Linked DNA regions of Canis lupus familiaris. The protein of the gene in region 1 binds, or shares a complex with, the protein of each later gene. Links are inferred from orthologs where the notes say so. Each region holds a gene or a part of one and is shown in the gene's direction. Other genes may lie near its edges.

Region 1 (11,086 bases):
CTGGGGGGGCGGGGGGCTGGAAGCAGCCCATCAAAGTGACCCACTGCCCCTGTCATCACCCCCCTGGGGACCAACACCCGCCCTCTCACCTGTTCACTGCGACAGCCGCCTTGTCCTGCTCCCACCAGTTGGAGTGAAGGTGGTAAGCTGGGCCTTCAAGTTTGGAGTCAGGCCCACCTGGCATCCAGCCTCCTCCGGCGGGGCATCTTCCCCTCTCAGCCTCAGTTGATTCATCTGTAAAATGAGGTTAGTGTATGAAAGACCTCTCTCAGGGAGATCCAGGGCTAAGTGCTTTCCTCTTCTTGGTAGGACAAGATGTTCAAAGAGAACACAGGCCAGGAGACTCCAGAGAGCTGCAGACTGTTGGCCACCAAGGTGGGAGGCAGGAAGGGTGAAGGGCGAAGAACCACCGGTGGGAGTGCTGTGTGGCCTGAGCAGGGCAGCTCTCTGGGCCTTGGTCTCTGCATCTGTAAGAGTGGACCGCATGAGCTAAGGACCCTTATGACCACCCTCCTTTTGACCCCGGTAAGCCCTTGGCCCAACCAGGACCTCCATCTCTCCCTAAACACTCGCCTCCTCCCACCCCCATCCCCACCACAGCCGGAGAGGCTCTACTATGATGGATCCTGTCCCTCCCTTACTCATCACCCTTCCATGGCTCTGTCACCATGACTCCCAGGGCAAGTCAGTCCTTTGAGACTCAGAATGTGGTCCAAGGGCCAGCAGCATCTGTATCGCCTGCTGGAAGTGCAGTATCTCAAGCCCCACCTCAGATCCATTGAATCTGAATCTGTGGTTAAACAAGATCCCCGGCTGACTCGGCTGACTCGTGTGCTCATGGAAGTTTGAGAGACACCGATCCAAACAACATTATGAGGGAAGTACTGCTATTATTCCTATCTTACACTGGGGAAACTGAGGCACAGAGAGGTTAAGTCATTTCCTTAAAGTCACACAGACACTTAGTGTCTAGATTCCAACACATAGTCTGACTCTGGGGTTTATGCAATAAGTGTGTGTGTGTGCTTTTAAAGATTTTGTTTTTAAGTAATCTTTAATTGGGTATAGACCTAATATGGGACTCAAACTCACGACCCAAAGATCAAGAGTTGCATGCTCCTCCAACTGAGCCAGCCAGGCACCCCCAGGGTTTATGCAAATAAATTTTTTTTAAGATTTTATTTATTCATTCATGGGAGACACACACCGAGAGAGGCAAAGACATAGGCAGAGGGAGGAGATGCAGGCTCCATGCAAGGAGCCTGATGCTGGACTCAATCCTGGGACTCCAGGATTACACCCTGAGCTGAAGGCAGATGCTCAACCACTGAACCACCCAGGCGTCCCTTGCAAATAAATTAATACATCACACTGTGGGTCATCTTGGGGGGGGGGGGGCGTTGATGACACCCTTTGTCACCAGAGGTGGGAGAGCAGGGAATTGGCCCATTTGCCAAAGATGCTGCAGCAGGGACTCCTGCCCTGGCAGGGAGGTTGGGATGACAACAGCCATCAAGCATTGAGCATTGACTGGGTGCCAAGCATGGGTCAGGCACTTCGTTAGTTCTCTCCGTTCAGCCTCAACAGGCACCCTCCAAAGTCAGCTTTAAGTCCTCACTTTTCAGGTGACAGCTCTGAGGTCCAGGGAGGTGAGATGCATGGGCCAAGTCTTTCTGGGAGGAGGAGCCAGGCACTCATCTCAGGGCTGTGACAGGTTCTGAATGGGCTGCTCTGTTCCCACTCCAGTCCTGCCCAGATGCCTCTCTTCCAGCATCTCCTAGAGAAGGCGGTGGCTATTTAAACCCCTCAGGTGTGGCTACGGTTCTGGGCCCTACCAGCTGGCATCTCCTTCTCAGCGCCCACCTTCTCCCCAAGCCAGGGAAAAGCACGTGCATTTGCCATTTGGTGAAACATCTGTCCTCCTGAGAAGCAGCCCCAACTGCCAGCGGGGGCTGGAACAAGGCTAGAATTCTCTTCCCTCTCTTTCTCCAGCCATTCCCCCACCCCACCCCAACCAGGGGAACTGAACACGGCCAGGGAAGGTCTGAGAACCACGGAGGTGGAAGGGAGAGAACCCAGGTTGGGTGGCCTTAGGACTGAGATCTTGTCCTGGACCTGCCACAGTGCCCTTGAGCCTGCCATGTCCTCTCCTTTGGCCTCACCTTTCCCATCTGTTAATGGGGATAATGTAGGGAAAAGCATTGTGACTGGTGATTTGGTTCTCCTCACATCTAGTCTTTCCAGTCTCCCCAGGGAACTGATACTCCCTATGTCCCAAGACAGGGAGCTCATCACCCACATTTTTTAAAAAATTAATTATTTATTTTAAAGAGAGAGAGAGCACACAAGCAGGGGGAGGGGCAGAGAGAGATGGAGAGAGACTCTCAGGTAGGCTCCACGCTGACCGCAAAGCCAGCACTTTGGCCACCTGCAACATCAGACACTATGATGCGTGGTTCTGGGCACATCCCAGTCTTGTAAGCCTCACTTTCCTGACACCCAAAATGTGTCTGCTGTAGGCTTGCAGCTGGGGGGAAGCCAAGGGCAAGGGTTCTTTTTCCCTCACTCACAAAGCAAATTGTATATTCAAAGTCAAAGGAGGGAGAATGGGGGAGTAACTCGATGATAGAAAAAAAATGTGTATAATAATCTCTTTTCCTTCCTGGTCCTAGCTCTTTATTACACTTCACCACCCTATTGAAGATCCTGCCAATTGCCTCAAATGCTGTGTGGAAGGAATGTGTGGATGTAAAGTGAAAAACCACTATCCTGAAGATACTCCACCACTGAATTGGCTGCCTTTCACTGGGCAGGGCCCTGGAAAGAATGGGGAGCTATGGGCCCCAGCTCCTGGGACTCCCCACAGGTCACTAGGGGCCGCTATGACATCCTTTGGCATTCTGGCCCGTGGAAGGAAAGAACTCTTCCCTGGGCACCCTGAGGTCCACTCCGAAGGCAAGGTCAAGTCCATTCCCTAACCTAGGCTGAGGGCAGGCTTTCTCTTCCTGTGGTTCTGCCTCAGGTGTTCCAGAAGCATCACCCTCCCCAATATCTTTTGTGACACGCAGCATAGCAAGTGCAGTCCAATTTTTGCACAGCAGGAAACCAACATTCCAAAACCACTCCTCCACTTTCGGTTCCAAGCCCATTTGCTGAAGACCAGCTGTGTGCTGGTGCCTTACAGGTTGAACATAGAGGCAGCCTCACTGAGCCCTTGGGGCACTGTGGGGGGCATGTCTGTACATGGGTTAAATATGGCACAGATGGAGAGTAATTACCCTGGGTTGGCGGGGAGTTAAGAGGAGGATTCCTGTTAAGAAGGCTTCAGTGATGCCCCAGTGGGTTTTGCAGGATGAGTAGGAGCTTGCCTGAAAGACAAAATCTGGGAGAAGAGGCTAGGAGTCCCAAGTAGAAGCAACTACATGTGTCAAGGCACAGAAATATGATATGACCCCCTCTCCCAGCACATTTTATTTGTGCAGCTCTTTAAAAAGAGACCAATAGGGGTGCCTGGGTGGCTCAGTCGGTTAAGTGTCTGAACCTTTGGCTCAGGTCATGGTCCCAGGGTCCTGGGATCGAGCCCCAAATTGCGCTCCCTGCTCAGTGGGGAGCCTGCTCCTCCCTCTCCCTCTGCCTACTGCTCCCCCTGCTTGTGCTCTTTCATTGTCTCTGTCAAACAAATAAAATCATTAAAAAATAAAAAATAAGAGGCCAATAAGCAGGAAAAGGGGAGGAAGAATGAATGCCAAGGCTAGACAGATGTTTGTTCAAGTCTCAAGTGTCACCACTTACTGATGGGCTGTAGGAATTTGGGCAAACTTTCATCTTTCCCATGGGTAACCTGGGTATAAACCAAATACTGACTTGATAGGAGTCAAAGTTAGCTAGGTACCTAAAGCGCTTTGCAAGGAGTAAACCACTCAACAAATGCCAGTCCCCTGCTCCCCTTTATGGGACACCCAGGCCCAAAGAGGATCCGCAAAGCAGAGCCAGGAGAAAACACATTCTGTGTTCTCAGAAGCCGATCACTCCCTCGCCGGTTTATTCCAGAAGTGCAAAAAAGACAATTAAAAATAACCTCGGGGCCCGAGGAAGCCTTCTGGGGCGTTAGAAGTGTTCTGTATCTTGATCCCAGTGGTGATTACACGGGTTTTTTGCATATGTAAAAATCCATCGAGCTGTGCTCTTAAGATGTATTACAGTTTGTAAGTCACACCTCAATTAAAAGAAAAAGAAAAGCATAACAAACCTTGCGACGCCGCCTCCCTTCGCCGCTGGCGACAGGTGTCTGTCTGAGACGCCAAAGACCCCTCGGCGCTCGCGGGGCAGGCCCGGCCCCCGGGCTCCGAGTCGTGCGCCGCTCCGGGGCCGCCGCGGGGTTCCCACGGCAACCGCAAGCCGCTCTCCGCGTCTCCCGAGTGACGAGGCGTCAGCGAAGACCCGGAGCCCGGATCGCCGAACCGGAGCCACGGAACCAACGGTGCGCGGGAGGTGGGGGGGGCGGTTGGGGAGAGGTGGCTGGAGAGAGACGGTGGCTGGCCGAGGGCAGAGGGGAGCGACGGGTGCCCTTCGTCCTTGCGCTGGCATTCTCGGGGGGGGGGGGGGCATCTGGCACCACCCCCTAGCCCGGTGCCCGCCAACTGCAGGATGAATACACCCCTGGGGTTCACTCTCGGTTTTCCAGGTGGGGAGGTGGACCGCTTGGCTGCTCCCCAATATCACAGAGCGAGCGAATCAGGGGCAAAGGCAAGCCCTGCACCCTGGTGGCCTGCTTTCTAGCTTGTGCGGTCCAGCCGAGTGAAGGGTGCATAGAGCTGGGTGCTGGCACCTCCTTGGGCTCTGGTACCAGCTCTGCCAGTAAGCCGCTGTGCGGTCTTCAAGTCCGTTCTCCTGCCTTTGCCGCAGAGATGGGACAGCACCACCGATATCTCAGGGCAGCTGTTACCAAGTGTGTGAAATAACGGGTGTAAAAGTGGCTTATAAACTGTAAAGTGTTGTGCACCTGTTAAGGACCATCACTGCTGCCACTCTATTGTCTTCTTGTCCTCATCATCATTCTGGCCTCAGCTGCAGGCTTGGTGACAACCAGGTGCCCAGTGAACATGGGGCTCCCAACTCCCCCCATGCCCATGGGTTTGCAGTCTCTAGGGTGAGATTTCCTTCCCGGAACATCCCCTTTCCCAAGCAATGGACCCAGCGTAGCTCTCCCAGGCACCAGGGATCCTTTGGTCCCCAGACCACCTACCGGAGGGATTCACAGAGACGGCAGCCTCCACCACCCTCCTGGACACCGCCTCCTAGTCTGCTACCCTGTAGCTGGATCGCAGAAGTGCCCCCACTAAGTGAGGATGTCTGGAGAGCCCAGGACGTGGCTCCTGCACAGAACCCGATGGTAACACCACTTAATGCTCTTTGAATGCCACATGCTGGGCATGTGTTGTTACAGTTGTGTGTTCGTGTGCTGTGAGACCGTATTTACATTGCGGTGCGTGTGTGGGGGTACATGTGCCAGGCGTGCATGCATACATTGGTATTTGTGTGTGCTTGCGATTCATATTTGAGTATGTGTGTGTAAATGTGTGTATTTATGGCTGCGTGGTATGTGCTTGCAGGTGTGTGTTGTGTATTTGAGGCATATGTATTTACCCGTGCATCTATTTGTGTCTGTGGTGGTGAATATGCATATCAAGGAGGGCATTTGTGGGTCTGTACTTGTGGTGTGCACAAGTGGATGTGTAAAACTGTGAGGTCTGTAATCGTGCATGTGTAGGAGTGTGCTGAGGGTTTCGGGTGGGGGGGGCTCTCTTCCCCCCCATCTCCCCTCATCTGGGTGACCTTCCTCCAGCTGAGGACTGTGCCCAGGCTAGCTCTTGCCCCCTCTGCAGACCTGTGGCTGCTCTGGTCATTGGCTTGCCCCATCTTGGGGCATGTGGGCAGCAGGAGCAAGGGCGGATGGGTGAACCTGGGTCCAGGGCTCACATGCCACCCCCTCCCCTTCTGGCCTCCTCCCCTCCCCACAGCAGGAGCAGCAGCGGGAAAGGTTGGCGGAGGGGGGCTATTTTGGGAGCGTCTCCTTAGCAACAGCTGCCACGGCCGTCTGTGGCGGTTTTTCTATAGGTGCTAAAATATTCCACCCTGGTGACTACTGAGTGCTGGGGGGTGGGCGAGGGGGGGAGTGGAGGGCGGGAGAGACCCCTGCAATCCTCCATTCCCAGGGCATAGCCGCTGGGATGGGTCTTGGCCCTGTGGGCTCCCATTACCCCTTTCCCCACCATCCATCCTCACCCCTCAGGGCTGCTGGGACTTCAGAGTTCTGAGGCTGGCCAGCTGTGTCCTGGTCTGATTCCTAATCTAAGCAGCTGGGCTCCCTCTGTTTGCCCCATCTGTAGAATGGGCTGGCCAGACTTTCAGGAACTCTCTAAGTCCCAAACCCCTGGACTCTGTGACTCTGGCATCTGGAAGTGGCCCCTGGTGGCCCACCTCCCCCACTCCTCTCCCAGCTTGGCTCAGGCCCTCCCACCTGCAGTCCTCCAGGCCTTCTGTGCCTGCTCTCAAGGCCTCTATGGGACCAGGGAGGCCTGACTGGTCTCCTAGAGTGAGCCAGTTCACGAGTGCTCTGCTGGCCTCAAACGACCTCTCCCCAGAAACTAGGAATGGATTCCAAATGTGGCTGAGACATTTGCTTACTCCCTGAGTGACCATGGGCAAGGCACTTCCTCTCTCTGTGTCTCAGGTCGGTTTCCTCACCTGTGAATGAGGGATAGTCCTAGAGGCTCCCTCATGAAGACACTGGGAGGATCATCTCTGAAAATGGAAAATGGGCCAAGAAGCTTTGGCAAAATGTTCAGTTGGATGAACGTTTTACCATCACTACCTATCAAACTTCAGAGCAAGTCTTGCCCTTCCACAGAGTTGTCCCTGGCCATGTACCAACATGGCCCATGCCTCAGTTTCCCCATGGGTAACAAGCGCCTGCATCATAGAGTTCTGGTAAGGATTAAATGAGACAATGCCTGTGCAAGCCTAGAATAGTGCTGGGCTAATGGTATCACCCCCAGGGGCGTCTGCTCCCTTCACTCTTCCCAGGGGGCGCTTTGGTGTTGGATGACCACAAAGCCTACTTGCCTTTTGGGGACCCAGTCCAGACTGTCCCATTACAGATGAGGCTCCTGAGGTCCAGAGAGGATAAGCAACTTGCCCAGGGTCGCCCAGGTTCTGACAGCCAAGCCTCTACCCGCTGCCCCTGTGAGCCCCTGCACACCTGTCTCACATCCCTCCTTGCCTCCACCTCCCCACCCCTGCCCTTCTCAAATATGGGCTGGACAATAGGGAATTCCGCCCCTAAGCTCCCATCATCTCAACTGTGGGGCTATTATCCTATGACACAATAGGCTGTCATACAGATGAGGACACTGAGGCACGGAGACAAGTGAGCTGTCCAGAGTCACATCAGGCTTGGGGCAGAGCGGGGTGGGGGGGGAGGTGAAGGGACTCTTTTTCCTGGGGTCCCTGAACCTCTCTCTGGCTGGAGCTGCCTTTTCTGCCTCTTCCCACCTCCTCCCAGTCACTCCCAGCCTCCACCAGACCCTCCTTGCAGGAGGATCCCAGGCTACAGCCCCAGGAGGAGGGGACCATTACCAAATGTTTCCTCTCAGGCTTATGATGTCACAGCCACCAGGCTTCCCCCTTCCATCTTCCAGAAGTCTCTGTCCCTGAGCTCCTACCTTTCCCTTGAACTTGTGCCCAGTGACCCAGCATCAGGACTGACCCCACAGGAGCAGAGGCTCTAGGTCTACAGACCCCTCAGTCTCCATTCCCCGCCCCCTTTGCCCCTCCCTCCTTGCCCTGCACCCCACATTTCCAGGGCAGCCAGCAGGCAGACCTCTGGCTAGGTGAAGAGACCACGGGTCATTTGCTTCTCCTGCACCCTCCCAATTTCCACGGAAAGTTGTGACAGTGACCAGGCACTTACCTGCCACTGACCGAGGATTCAGATTGCCTAAGTTCATGCGCATCAAAGATTCATGTGAAGGAACACAGTCCTGGCTGCCTGCCTGTGAGGACACCGCAGAGTTAATGAGGGAGACGGGCACGGAATGGGTCATCTGCTATGGGGCTCCCCGCGCGCGGTTGAAGGGAGAAAGGATGGTCATGTTATTGACTGCCTACTGTGGGCTGTGCATTTCTTGTGCATCTATCTCTCCTAATCCGTCCCTGTGATGGGGAGGGACTGTTAAGGACCCCATTTTGCAAACAGGTTGGATAAGAACTTGGAGTATGAGGGCCAGATGAATGAATGAGTGGGTAATGAATGACTTCTGCTGGGGGCATCAGGAGGCCACCCCAGGGGCTGAGAGAGCACTAGGAATTCTCTGGGCAGAGGAGGAGGAAGGGCACTTCAGGCAGGAAGAACAGCACCGGCAAAGGCAGAGAGGTGCAGAAGCATCTGGTATGTTCTGGAATCTGTGGGAATCAGGGTGTATGTGTGGGTATATAGGGTGCTGGATGAGGTGGGGCCTGACTGTACATCATGCTGAGGAGTTGGGACTGGATCCCAACTGGAGGTGGGGAGGATCCACGGGGAAGGGAGACAGTCATGGTGGTTAATGTGCTGGACACATGCTTGGGGACCCACTGGGAGAAAAAGCTGGAGGTTTCATCCTCAAAAAATTCTCAATCCGGCTTTGGGGTGCCTTAGTCTCTCCTGAGACTAGCCACAGATGGGCAGGATACCAGGGAAGTTCTTCTGGCTGTCTAGCTATAGGTGTTTTCTCATCCTCCATCCTAGTGAAGGAGCACTTTCCCTCCTCAGAGAGTCGGGGTGAGGTGGCAGGGTGGCCAGGGAGGCGGCTCGCTGTCCTTGGGGGGCTCTGAGGTGGTGGAGTCAGCTCCCCACAGCCCAGAGCGCGCAGCCCAGACCTGGAGCTCACTCAGACCGGGATCCTCCCCTGTAAAGACAGTCTGGAGTAATGCGGCTGCAGAGAGTAAGAGTCTGGGGTTTGGTCCAGCTCCGCCACCTCCGGGTGACCTTGGACAAGCTCACGACCCTCTCTGGCACTCAGTCTCTCAGTCTGTAAAATGAGGCGGTGCTGTCTAGGTGACTGTGAGGGTCCCCTGCAGCCATGCACGCCAGCCCCCGGCTCCCGGAGCACAGTACGTGGGGTCATTAAGTGCCGGTACTGCAGGAGGGGAAGGGGACCGCGGAGCAAAGTGGCCCGGAGCCTCCGAACCCAGTACAGACCCTCTCCCACGCACCCCCTTCCCGGCCCGGAGGAACCCTACCGACCTGCCCCCGGGGGTTGCAAAACCCGGAGCGGATTCTCGGAATGGGTTCTGGGAGGAGCGCTCCCGGAGGGAGGAGGAAAACCCGGGCAGGATCCGCGGCAGGAGCGGGGCCCCACGGCCCCTCGGCCCCCAGCCCTGCCCCGCGCGCCCGGCGGGCCCAGGGGGTTTGAAGCCCCGCTGCGCCGCGGGGAAGGAGCCGGGCCGGGCCCCGCGGGCCGCCCGGGGCCCGGGGCTCGGGGGCCGGGGGGGGGGCGCGCGGCCTCCGCACTGGGGCGCGGGTCACGTGTGAGGAGGGGCGAAAGTCTCGCAAAGCGGGGCGGCGTGCCGCGAGTTGGGAGTTCTCGGCGCGCCGCGGGCGGCGGGAGCTCGGGCTCCCGGGCGAGCCGGGGACGCGGCGGAGGCGCGGGCCTGGGTCCGAGACAGCGGGGGCCGCACCGAGAGTGGGAGGGAGGGAGAGACACGCAGAAGGACAGACGGCGCCCGGGAGGAGGACAGAGAGAGACGCGCAGGGGAGACCGAGACAGGGCAGAGGCGGAGGGAGGCAGGGGAGGCTCTGGGAGGGCGGCGGGCAGCAGACCGAGCCCCCGCCGGGAGACACGGGAGGCGGGCTCGGGGACCGAGGGGCGGACGGACAGACGCACGGAGACCCCGGGGGCAGCCCGGCGGGCGGCGGCGGGTCCCGGGCCGGCCGGCCGGCCGAGGGCTTCCCGGGGCCGGGGCGGGGAGCGGGGAGCGGGGAGCGGAGCGCGGGGCGGGGAGCGGAGCGCGGGGCGGGGAGCGGCGCGGAGAGACAGCGCGACGGCAGCGGGGGGGCGGCGGAGGGCCGGCGGCTGCGGCGGGGGCGGGGGGCGCGAGCGCGGGCGGCCGAGGCCATGGGCCCCCGGATCTCCGCGCCCTGAGCCGGGCCCGGCCCGACGATGCTGACGCCCAGGCGGCGCCGGGGGCGCGGCGCGGGGCAGCGCTGAAAGTTGAGCGGCCCGCGGGGAGCGGCGCGGGACGGCCCCGAGGCGCGGAGACCCGGACACCGACGGACAGACCCACCGGCAGCCGGGGAGGGGGGCGGGGCCGGCCGGCCGAGTGCGCGGGGAGGGGGCGCCGGGACTCCCCTCTCCCCGCCCGGGACGCCGCCCGCCCGCCCGCGCCGTGGGATGTAGAGCCCGCTCGCCGCCTTCTGGACCTTCGTCGGACCCTCCGCCCCGCGGTAAGCCGGGCGCACGCCCACCGCCGGCGCTGACCGTCTGTCTGTCCAGCCGCGTGCGTGTCTGTCTGTCCCGTCCCGGGTGGGGGGGGCCGTGGGCCCCGCCCGCCCAGCACCTTATCCCTGCGGGTCTCGGCTGCGGGGCCCGCGTTCAGCGCGGTCCAGTGACTCCCAGGGAGCTGGCAAGCGCTGTCGCTCTGTCCGTCGGTCCCTTCGGGAGCGTGAAGGTCTGGGTTGTGGCCAGAAAGGTGGAGAGGGGTGGGTGGAAGAGGCCTTGACCTCCTGCCCCAGCCTCGACCTTTCCCTGCCTCCACCCACCCCCAGTTGTCAGCCTGTTCTGAGGAGCTTCAAGGCAGGTGACTCCTGGCAAACGCGTGTGTGTGTGTGTGTGTGTGTGTGTGTGTGTGTGTGTGTAGGGGTCCCCTTTCCACTTCCCCAGCTGCAACCTGTTTGCAAATAGCCCTCTGATCTCACGGAAAATAACATCCCACTTCTCATGTTTGAGCACCTACTTTGGGCCAGGTGACCCCCAAGGAGGGTGGACAGGGATCCAGCAAAGAAGGTATTTCATATTCATAGTGGAGAGAGGCACAGACTGCTCTT
Region 2 (11,078 bases), on another chromosome or scaffold:
CCAAACTGTCAGGGGGCCTGGCCCCTCACCCCAGACTTTCCTACCCCACCTTACTCTATCCCACCCCACCCTGCAGAATGGTGCTGCTTCCCCCCCTAGTGGCTGCAGAGCCTCACTACTTCACATGTGGCCTGTGGACTGGCAATATGGGCATCACCTGGGAACTTGTTGGAAATGCAGTCGCTGCCCCATCCAAATCAGAACCTGTGTTTCAACAAGACTCCTAGGTGACTGTTGTGAACATTGTTGTTTGAGAGCACTGGTTAAGTAGATAAGCAAAGCCTGGCTCCAAGGAAGGAAGAGGCCAGCTTTGGTAGGTGCTGCCAATTTCTAGGTCAGACAGAGCAAGAAGATTCCACCCCACCGCCACCCCCAGGAAAGGGGCAAGCTCAATGTATTTGAATTAAAATATTTTGACTAGATAATTTATGTTAAAAGATTATAGACAGTGAAAAGCTTCCTTCCCACCCGTTCAGAGGCAACTTGTGTTACCAATTCCAAGAGGCTCTCCTGTTTTGCTGACAACCTACCGGGTTACTTGTGCCCTTACTAAGGAAATGAAAAGTTCTTTTCCTGATGTCTGCAACACCAGACCAAGTCTCCTGTCAGAAAGGGACACGGTGGAGTACACTTAGGTACTGGGCTGAGGGGGGGGGGGGGTCGCTCACTTCTCCCTCTCCCAGTATCTGAGGAGTCCCTATGTAAACCCAAGGGGAGAGATGTAGAGCTCATCACTCACCATTGTCTGATGGTTCAGTAGCAAAGGCTTGCAGTGCTGCCTCTGGCCCAAAAAGACCCAGTATTTGGTTTGCACAGACCCTGGCCTAATGCCACCTACCTGGTATGTTCCTAATGATTAATTCCATGCCTTGGGAGTGCCATGATGCTGGCCAATGGGATTTGTAAACTGAGTGCTATCAAGTGGACCAGCCATGAAAGAGCTAAGTGCCCTCTACCCCTGTTGTAGGGGTCACCGGGACTAACTAGTCACGGCTGCCTTTGTGCCCCAACGCCTCATCAGTTCTTCCTTTCTCAGTGCTGTAAAGGGGGAACAGGATTTCCTCCAGGTGTCTGAGTACCCCAGCTAAGGACAACAGTGTCCTGCAGAGTCCCTAAGTCACCCCACTTGGAATGGCATCTTGCATGTCTGAAAAAGGGCTCCACTTGATTGCAGCCCACCCTCCTCCACCCAGATGATGCAGCTCCCCTCAAGAGCATTCTCTCCAGGGACTCTTCAAAAGGCACACCTTTCTCCCAGCTATTTGTTTCCCCTTAAGCCGAAGTGCACAGACTCAAAAGGAGGAAAGACGGCAACCATTGTCTGGGACCTGCCTTATAAATGTATTAATATTTTTATTTGGCTATAAAACAATAAAAGGTTTTAACTTGAAAACTATTTTTTTTTAAAGATTTTACTTATTTACTTCATGAGAGACACAGAGAGGCAGAGACCGGCAGAGGGAGAAGCAGAGCCTACTTATGGTGGGACTCGATTTGGGGACTCTGGGATCATGCTGAGCTGAAGGCAGATGCTCAACAGCTGAGCCATCCAGGCATCCCTTGAAAACTAGATTTTCCCCCCCTTCCTATCTTTTCAGTCACTCTGTCTCAGAGGAAAATGTAAGGAGAAAGTGAGAACAAAAGAGGCGGACACAGAAACCATCAGTGAACAATAAATTATGTTCCCTATTGTATTACAAAGAAATTCAAATGGAAGTAAGGAAACTCTTTAAATGAGCAAATATTAAAGACTGGGAAGACACAATAGAACTGGTACATTTCCACTCAATGAGGGTAATCTGATAAAACTCTGGAAATCATTTGGAATCAAGTTATCTTCTGCTTTAGGAGTTTATTAAGTTCCCTCAAAATGATATCAAGACATTCTCTGCAATATTTTTTATAATAGTGAATATTTCAATCTTTAAGTAAATCAGCTCACTTATTCTGCACCCCCAACCCCCGATCCAGTAGGACTGCTCTTTATTCCACATCACAAACCTTCCCATTTCACTTAGGGAAAGCCCTCAGGACAGGGAGGTTGAGAAGGGCATAGTGTGCAAACCATACCTGTGAGCCTCTTCAGCAGTGGTCTGAAGAGGGTTCAGAGGTCACTGGGTGAGTGAAGGAGGCAAAGCTGTGGCCTCACCTGCTTCTTCCCTTTGAGTGCATGCTTGGGTCCCAGATCTATCTCTGTTATTGACCATGGGCCATGTACTGTCTGTAAAAGGGGATTTGGATTCAAGTTCTCAGATCTTCTGATCTGAAATGGATTCTTTTTAAGAAAAATCCAATTGTGATCCCATCACTCCTGGCTAAAACTTCCAAAGGCTTCTCCCAATCGCTCTTAGGATCAAGGCCAACATCCCCACTGTAGCCTTCCATGACTGATCCAAGTCCTGGTCCTGGCCTCTTCTCTAACTCTCCAGGTACAGGCCAAACCCCTTCCTGCTGCCCAGTGGTCCTCACACTTGTGTGTGTGTGTGTGTGTTTTTTTAAAATTTCATTTATTTATTCATGAGTGACAGAGCGAGAGAGGGGCAGAGACACAGGCAGAGGGAGAAGCAGGCTCCATGCAGGGAGCCTGATTTGGGACTCGATCCCAGGTCTCCAGGATCACACCCTGGGCTGCAGGCAGCGCTAAACCGCTGCGCCACCGTGGCTGCCCAACACTTGTGCTTTCTTGAATGTAGCTTCTTCTTCATACTTGTTATTCAACTCTGAGGTCTCAAATGTAATCTCAAAGGATTTTTAAAAAAAGATTTATTTATTTTGAGAGAGCAAGCAAGCACACACTGAGGAGGGGGGTAGCCTGCTGAGCTCTTAGGCCGAGGCAGGGCTCCATCCTGAGAGCCTGAGATTACCACCTGAGCTGAAATCAAAAGTCAGATGCTCAACTGACTGAGCCACTCAGGCGCCCCTCAAAGACTTTACTGATCCCTACTCCCCAACCTGGGCTCAGTTTAGGGCTCCTCTGTTCTCACTTCACAGCACTTATCAAAATTTAAATATTTGTGAAATTAGGGAATACCGGTCCTCCCAGTTAGACTATAAATTCCATGAGCAACACGTTCACTACTATAACTCTAATGCAATATGTTATCTTTCAAAGGTATGCACTTTATTCTAAGATACCCCCTTGACAAGAAGGGATCATGGGTTAGCACACAGACAAAAGCATTACATTCTAAACAAGCCCAAACTTTAGCTTAAATGTCGTCTATTTAATCTCCATTAGACATATTCTAGAAAAGAGCTTGAAGTTGTTTAAAAAGGAAATGACAGCTAGCTGTTGCTAGATGAAATGGAACTGAAATGGCACGACTCATGCCTGAAAGCAGTGGGTACAGAGAGGGACGTCTGGGGTCTGAAAAACGGTACACTCAGCCAGTGCAGCAAGAGCAATTAAAAGACCTGTATCTGGAACTTGGCTGCCTCTTTCTAGCTGTGCCTCTCTGTGGCAGAGGTCCGTGTAACCTGAGCCTCAGAATCATCAACGAGGGATACTAATTCTATCTACCCCACAAGGATATTGCTAGAATGAAATGAGACAACGGGTGTACAGGGTACAAGGCACCATGTTTTGGCATGTGGGAAACGCTGCTAACAGTAAGTCCCTCTTTACTTAGGCCCTAGTAGTCTCTCTGGATGGCCTATGTATAAATGCAAGGAAATTACAGAAGGCTGAGACCCAGACCCAGCTCTCTAGGAGCCAAACCCTGGCGATTCTGCACCCACGGCAGACATGGGCTATGAGTTAAGGTAGGAAAAGACTCCACGAAGTGTCTCACGCTTCATTTAATCTGAAGAATGGTACAGGCTCTTCGTCTTCAGATATAAATTATCAGGTTACAGAACAAGCAGCGAATTCAACAATTTAAAAACTAAGTCTACACGGTGTTAATCTCTGACGCAGTCCTCCCAGTCTGGTTCAGTAGACGTGCACCATGCCGTAGAGGAACGTCCAGAACAGGACGTAGGTGAAGAGGCCGCCGACCAGGCCGCCGGTGAAGAGAGGTCTGCGTGACTTAAAGTACTTGTTCCACCGCCTTCCCGCCTTGAGGATCAGGAGCAGGGAGAGCAGGACGGAGGCGAGCAGGTAGAAGATGAAGCCGTAAAGGCCGGTGAGGCCGAGGATGCCGGCCGTGGCCCCCGACAGCGCGGACACCGAGGTGCGGCAGTAATCGAGGACGGCGGCGTTGCCCCGCACAGCTGCCTCGCTGATGAACGGCGGCCCTTCCCGCTTGGCCACCACAGCGGCCATCGCACTCGCCGCGGCTCAGCCTCTACTTTCCCGCGGAGCTGCGGAGGAAACCCGGGGACAAATGGCCTCCGGCGCCTGGCGACTTGCGAGCACGCCGCCCGCCCCCCCCCCCCCCGCCCCCGACTCCCAAGGCCTCGCACCACTCCTGGATCTCGGGCCTTCCAAGGACGCAGAGGGGGCTGAGGGCTCGGTTCGGCCTGCCCCGGCTCGCCCAGTTACCTGCAACACGGCGGCGGACACAGACACAGACACGCGGCGTTCCTTCAGACGGCCAGCGGCACAGACCCGCCCGGCGCCATCTTGCGCTGGAGGGTGCCGGGAGGGCTCTCGCTGCGCACGCGCCGAACCCGCGCTCCCGCCCCCGCCGCGCACGCCGCGGGCGCCCCCGCCCCCTACGCACGCACGGGGACTTCCGGCCGCTGACTGGCTGGGCTTGTCAACGACTCCTGAGGGGCGGGCGGAGCCCGGGCGCCTTTGTTAAGCCGGCAGGGCGCGGCCGCTGGGACTCTGGCTGCGGGCGTCCCTGAGCTGCGCCTGGCCTCCGGTTGCGGGTCGAGATGTCCTACATCCCGGGCCAGCCGGTCACCGCCGTGGTGGTGAGTGCGCTCGCCCCTGTTGTGCAGATCGGCGGACTGACGCCCCACACGGGCCGACGAAGCGCTGAGCCCGGGCGGCTGCCAAGCGGCGGCCGGGCCCGGGCCCTGGCTCTGCCCCGCGGGACCGCGGTCTTCCCCGGCGGGCGCCAGGGACGGCGGGACCCCAGCGCCTGCCGGGCACCTGGACCCGAGGCCAGCCCCGCGCCCTGCCGCCGCTGCGTTGGGCTCCGTCCAGCCGGCGGAGAAGGTCCTCAGCCGCGGGGTGCGGGGAGAGCGCCCGTTCCCGGCTGAGCTCCCAGCGGGCAGCCGCGGGGCGGGGCGGGGACAGCCGGGAGGCGCTGCCCCGGGAACGAGGAAGTGCTTCCTCCGCTGCGGGAGACGCCGCCGCCGCCGCCGCCGCCGCCGCCCCGAGGGACAGTTGGGGGTGGAGGCGGCCGGGGCGGAGGGGCAGGCCCGACTGTCCGCCGGCCTGGCGCGCTCGGACCCGGCCCCGCTGCTCCACAGTGAGGGCACACGCCGCTGGCGGGCTCCTGCTGCAGACGTTCCCTGGCTTCTCACCCCTTGGGACAAAGTCCGGGTTCCCCGCCCGGCGCTGGGCCAGCCTCGGCCCCTGGCTCCCCTCCACCGGCTGGTCTTGGGTGCTAACTGCTAGGGCAGCCAACAAAGGGAAGGAGAGAGCCGGGGACGTCAGTGCCAAAGCTGGGTGGGGTCTGAAGGCAAACTCGGGAGGCGGAGATGGGGAAACTGAGTCCCAGGAGAAATCTGTTGATGCCCAGCCCTAAAGAAAGTCCCCAGGAAGAACCCAGATCTCCGAGAAGAAAGGCCTGTCTGGCAGGAATTGGGTCAGGTACAAGTCCCAGTCCTAGGGCCGAGGGACGGGCGGCCTTATCTCAGCTGGGTCTGCAGGGGAACTCCTGAGTCAGGCGCCGGCACTGATTAAGCTGGCATGTGAACTTGAGCTTAGAGAACCAGCTCTGGCCGGGGCTAGTAAGAAACATTTCTGGACCTGCAGATTGCTGCCCTACACTTCACCCTAACTGCACCAACCTCGCTTTTCTAGATTCCTAGCTGCCTCAGAGAGAAGCGGCCAGGTTTGCTTCTTAGGTGGAAGAAAAGGGGTGTGTAGGGGAGGCGCAAGAAAGAGGCAGTAAGCCGCCTCATCTCACCCAGTAAGTCAGGGACCCGCCCGTGTCTTCCAGCCCAAGGGCCTGTACTCTCTTCTAATCTCGGGGTGGGGCAAAGGTGTGTGTTGGAGGAGGTGGAGCAGGCCTGCAGGAGTTCACGCTTTTGGACTTGAGGACCTATGTCTAGTGGGCTTCAGGGGTCATACTTCCTGCTTCCCCTCTCTTCTGTCCTGGCTGGTCCTCCCCCGGACCTTCTTCAAAACTGTAAGACCACGCTGTCCCAATTCTTGTTAAGACTAGGAACGTGTCTGGCCTCTCCCGCTTGTGTTTTGTATAAGTGCTGCCGAAGCAAGCACATCCTGCTTGTGTTTTGGATTGAGAATGGGCTAGGGGAGGTTTCCTTCCTAGTCACTGCCTTATCCCACGTAGTTAATATTTTGAGAATGTTAAAACCATTTTGACTTCTTCTCTGAGCTGTGGCTCCATGGGTTCATCTGCCTTCTGTCTGGACACTTGCCTGGGTAGCTCATGGCACTCCAAAATGCTTCCCCTTCAGTGTCCCCAGCTGAGAGATGTTTGTGTTCAGCCAGGCCACTTGGCTGGGTGCTTCCTTTCACTGCTCTCTACCACGAGCAGTCCTCAAGTCTGTTGATCTATTTTCCAAGTAGTCATGTCCCCTGGCCTCCACATCCCACCTCTAGAAGACATCCATTCTCCTCCTCCTGACTGCCCAGGTGGTCATTCTAGTATCAAATCTGACCAGGACCAACCTTATTCCTGAACTCCTGAGAACTCTAGTGGGCCCAGAATCAAAGTCAGGTGTCTAAACTGTCACTCCTTTCAAGGTCTGGTGCAAATGATCCCTCTTCTGTGAAGCTCTTCAGGTCCAGATCAAGGCACTCTTTTCTTTCTTCCTTTTAAAACTCAACTTTTGGGGTGGGGTGATCTGGTCTAGCTAGCCCCTACACTCTGGTGATTGGAGGGTGCCTGCTGAGAACTTTGAAAGGGCCCTGGCAGTTTGGGGACTATGGTGGGAGAGCTTTAGAACCCTCCTCTGCCTCCTACACCACACAACAGGGTCTGGGGCTTACAGAGAAACCCCCTCCCTCAGGGCCAGCCTCTAGGGCCTGCACTCCACAGCCTTTCTGATCTGGCCCCAGTCTCACCTCACCTCTCAGTTCCAGTGCTGTACACTCCTCTTGTAGACCTGTATCCTTAGTACCTTCAAGCCTGTGCTTCTGTCCCTTAGCCAGGACAAGCCCTTCCTCTCCTTCATGTGCAAGTTTGAACTTCTCTGCTTTTCCGGAGCATCTCTATAGTCTTGCCCTCAACAAGGCTGGCTCAGCAATGAGTTGCCTCAGCAAGGCACTGGCGTTTCTTTTTCAAGCCTTGTCCCCTTCTGCTCTGTGTGGTCCCTCCCCTGGGTCACAGGCCCCCCATGTAGAGCAGTCACAGCATCTTGACTCTTGGATCAAGAGGGGCTTAGAGTACATGTTGACTAAGGCTGGTGCCTGAGATTAACAGGAAAGGGACAGAGGCTAGAACAGAATATTGCGTAGGTGGTTGTGGCTGAGTTCTGAGTCACAGTCTCCCAGGCCCCCAGTCTCCCAGGCTGGTGGCTGGTAACCGGGTGGAATCCTACAGAGGACTCTGGGCTCCACCCCCATTGGCATGGGTCTGAGCTGGCACAGCAGCCTGAGGCTGCTGCTGGACACAGAGCAGATTCATTGTCCACATACTTACCTGCCCCCAATTTGTTTTTTCCTTTGCTAGCAAAGAGTTGAAATTCACAAGCTGCGTCAAGGTGAGAACTTAATACTGGGCTTCAGCATTGGAGGTGGAATTGACCAGGATCCCTCCCAGAATCCCTTCTCAGAAGATAAAACAGACAAGGTGAGGGGGACCAGGGTCCTGGGACCTCTCCACTGGGGACAAAGGTCTGAGATGGTGGGTACTTCCAGGGCCTTCTTGGAAGGAGTAGACCTCTTGGTCTTTCAAAAATCCTAAGACCTTTTAAGAAATGATAAGTAGGGATGGGGGTGGGGAGCAGACCTCCCAGCCCTAGGAAGGCTCACTCAGAGCCCAGGAGGAACAGGAAGAGGCGAGCAGCAGGGACCAGAGCATGGTGGGGCATCGCTGCTTTCCCCTCGACTGTCTTGGCACAGCCTGTACTAGGGTCAGACTTGGTGCAGTCAGTTGGATGGCTGGGCTTTGCTCTCTGGATTAGGGGCTAGTCCAGTGACACTGGGGCTTGACTTGGGCTGTCTCTTTCCAGGGCATTTATGTCACACGAGTATCTGAAGGAGGCCCTGCTGAAATTGCTGGGCTGCAGATTGGAGACAAGATTATGCAGGTAACATGTGTCCCAAAGGAGGAGATCAAGGCTTGGGCCAGAGGGTCTGAAGCACTCGGGTTGGGGGCTGCCCTTGCCTCCTGGGGCACCTGGGAGACTCACTGAAACTGTTGGGAGCGCATGCTGGTGTTGCTGCCAGAGGGAGCTGGCTCTCTCCTCTGTATGCCTCAACTGTGGTGCTTGGCATCCCCAGCACAGAGACATCAGCGTGCCTGGGTGACCCAGGACCCTAAAGCCCATCCTGCTTCCAGATCCCAGAGGACAGAGAACTGAGGCAGGCTGTATTTTCTCCTTGGGCCAGGTGAATGGCTGGGACATGACCATGGTCACACACGACCAAGCCCGGAAGCGGCTCACCAAGCGCTCGGAGGAGGTGGTGCGCCTGCTAGTGACCCGACAGTCGCTGCAGAAGGCAGTGCAGCAGTCCATGCTGTCCTAGCAGCCCGCTGTGGTCCCTGCCTCGTGCCTGCCTGCCTACAGTGACACCACTTCCATGCTCTGTCTGCCCCTCATCCTGGCTTCTGCTGCATGCTGGGCCCCAGCTCCAAAGGGCCAGAGCTGGTCCCAGAGGCCTGTCCCTGGGGCCTGACCCAGCCTTCCTTCCCCACCTCCCACTGGCCTGAAGCTCTGGGACCAGCTCTCATCCTCAGACACTGAGAATTTAAAATAAGGGCCTGGAGTTGAATTGTAGTCAATCTGCAGCGACCATAGGCTTGGCCCCCAGACCCTGCTGCATGGCCTTAGCAGTGCCCAAATGGGCAGGAGGTCCCCCACAAAGCTGGAGAATGCCAGGTGGGGCCGGGCTTTCCTACAGAGGCCTGGCTGCAGGGCTCGGCCATGCCTCTGTGTCTCAACTCTGCAGCGACTTGTACCCTGTTTTTCCCTTCCTTCCCCAGGAGGGGCTTGACACACTGCCTGAATGGAAGCCAGACAGGCTTATGGTTCACCCCCTCACACCCCCACTTCCCTGAGGGACACTAGCCTCCCCAGGGTTCACCTGTGTACAAGATTTAGATGAAGCTCAAGGCTGACATTTCAGGGCAGTTCTCAGGATTGCCATTTCCTTCTATGCCTATGGGTTTAACTTTATATTTTTTAAATCACAACTTTGATACAAAAGCATTTTTACCTATTTGGAGATGCCAATCTTACTTTTGAATTTAGCTTACTAACTTGTATCTGGGAACAACATGTGTTACTTTGGTTCCTATGGAAATGGGGCAGTGTGAAATTACCCCATACCTGACATCTTGGGTCCAAATAAACAGTGTTGGAATTCACAAGGGGTTTTGCTGAGGCATGGGGCTAGGGATGTCTGGGGGTGGATGGTGGCTAGAGCTTTGGTTGTAGGGCTGACGAGCCTGGCCCCCAACCACTTCTGAGATGAGGCCCAGCTGCTGCCAGGCCTGCCTGTTGCTGTTTGGCCAGAGCCACATCTGTGGGAACGTCTGGGAGCACCTCCCTGGAAGTGGGGCAGGGAACTCTTGACTTCCCCTGTGTAACTTAGCTTGTGCTCCACCCGGGAGAGGACTCATGGACACTAAGGGGTTCATGGGACACCCCCACCCCCCGCCAAGACTCTTGAGAGCATAGTTTATCACAGGTAGGATTGATGAGATGGGGGTAAGCTGGAGAACACCAGTGCCTCTGCTTGGCCCAGGACTGGCTGCACGACCAGCTCTGGGAATGATTGCCATTTGAGGGCTTATCTGTAACTGCCAAATCGAGTTTTTCAAATTTTCCATCAGAAACCTGAAATCTCCTATTTTTACAGTGTGGTACCCAGTAACATACAGAGTAGCCCAAATAAAATACGTCTGTGGGGTTGGTCAGGCTGGAAACTGTTTTAGGGAAACAAGATCCTAAATTCTTGGATAGTTGGATAGAAGAATAATTTGAAAAATAAAATGCCCACCCCCCCCACCCCCCCGCCCATAAGAGCACCCTTAACCCATCCAACCCATGCTCCTTAACTCCAGCTTGAGCAACATACCCTTGGTAATGGTACCTGTGTGACCTACCTGGCCCTGAGCAGGCAGGCATCTTGCACTACCCAAGAGGGCTCCCCTGATGAATGCCGGTCGGCATGCAGCCACCTCGCCATCAGCATAGTTTGCAACTCCAGTGTTTCCTTACATGAAGTAAGTAGGGTTGTCTCCTTAAGCCCCAAGAATTGGTTCTGAAGCCAACACACCTACCTCCCACATCTGGCAAGTGCTCAGTGTGCAGAAAGGAAACAAATCATTTTAATTAAGGATATAGGCACCTCACATTAATCTTGTAGTAAAAGGTCTGAACGTGAACTGACAAGGCACATCCTGGCACCCTCCCCTCCTGCCACAGGAAGGACAGCCTGGGATAGAAGGGAAGGAGGTTTGGAATAAGGGTTGGGCCCATGAGGATTGTGTGAGTGGTCTCAAGTCCTTATGAGAGACTCCTGAACAGCCAAAAAGTTGCTCTCAGGTAGGATCTGGGGTAAGTGAAGGAAGGGGGCCAGCCCTCCTCCCCTACAGGGGAGCTTCTCTCACCATTTGTCAGGTCTTCCTGGCCTCTAAGGCAGACTGGTGTGTGTGTGTGTGTGCACGTGTGCACATGCGCATCCACACACCCTACACACCAGCACAAGATAAGGAGCAGTCAAAGGGGATTAAATAGGGTCCCTGACTCTGGGAAAGTAGAGGTAGGCAGAAGGTGGAGACACTAAGCCACCCACTTCCAGAACATCCCTCCAAAAAACCCAA

What was found.
Region 2: the proteins of KCNJ4 (region 1) and TAX1BP3 are in contact, whole or in part, in a crystal structure (PDB 3GJ9), measured with the Homo sapiens proteins. The link is inferred for Canis lupus familiaris from reciprocal best matches to the Homo sapiens genes KCNJ4 and TAX1BP3. Residues at the interface, in NP_004972.1 of Homo sapiens: Arg440, Arg441, Glu442, Ser443, Ala444, Ile445; in NP_055419.1 of Homo sapiens: Leu27, Ile28, Leu29, Gly30, Phe31, Ser32, Ile33, Gly34, Gly35, Asp38, Gln39, Gln43, Asn44, Thr58, Arg59, His90, Asp91, Arg94, Leu97, Thr98.

What each region holds. Positions count from the first base shown.
Region 1 is NC_049231.1:27,316,769-27,327,854, forward strand, and holds the start of KCNJ4 (inward rectifier potassium channel 4), read left to right. Parts: upstream 1-5,178; 5' UTR 5,179-5,392; intron 5,393-6,747; exon of another isoform or gene 6,748-6,804; intron 6,805-7,972; exon of another isoform or gene 7,973-8,155; intron 8,156-10,337; exon of another isoform or gene 10,338-10,486; intron 10,487-11,086. Other genes in the region: KDELR3 (ER lumen protein-retaining receptor 3), read right to left, coding at 90-184; uncharacterized protein LOC119876745, read left to right, coding at 706-843, 4,229-4,480. UniProt on the Homo sapiens protein: Inward rectifier potassium channels are characterized by a greater tendency to allow potassium to flow into the cell rather than out of it.
Region 2 is NC_049230.1:47,458,778-47,469,855, reverse strand, and holds TAX1BP3 (tax1-binding protein 3), read left to right. Parts: upstream 1-4,676; 5' UTR 4,677-4,821; coding exon 4,822-4,860; intron 4,861-7,757; coding exon 7,758-7,877; intron 7,878-8,259; coding exon 8,260-8,337; intron 8,338-8,638; coding exon 8,639-8,776; 3' UTR 8,777-9,620; downstream 9,621-11,078. Other genes in the region: EMC6 (ER membrane protein complex subunit 6), read right to left, coding at 3,932-4,264. UniProt on the Homo sapiens protein: May regulate a number of protein-protein interactions by competing for PDZ domain binding sites. Binds CTNNB1 and may thereby act as an inhibitor of the Wnt signaling pathway. Competes with LIN7A for KCNJ4 binding, and thereby promotes KCNJ4 internalization.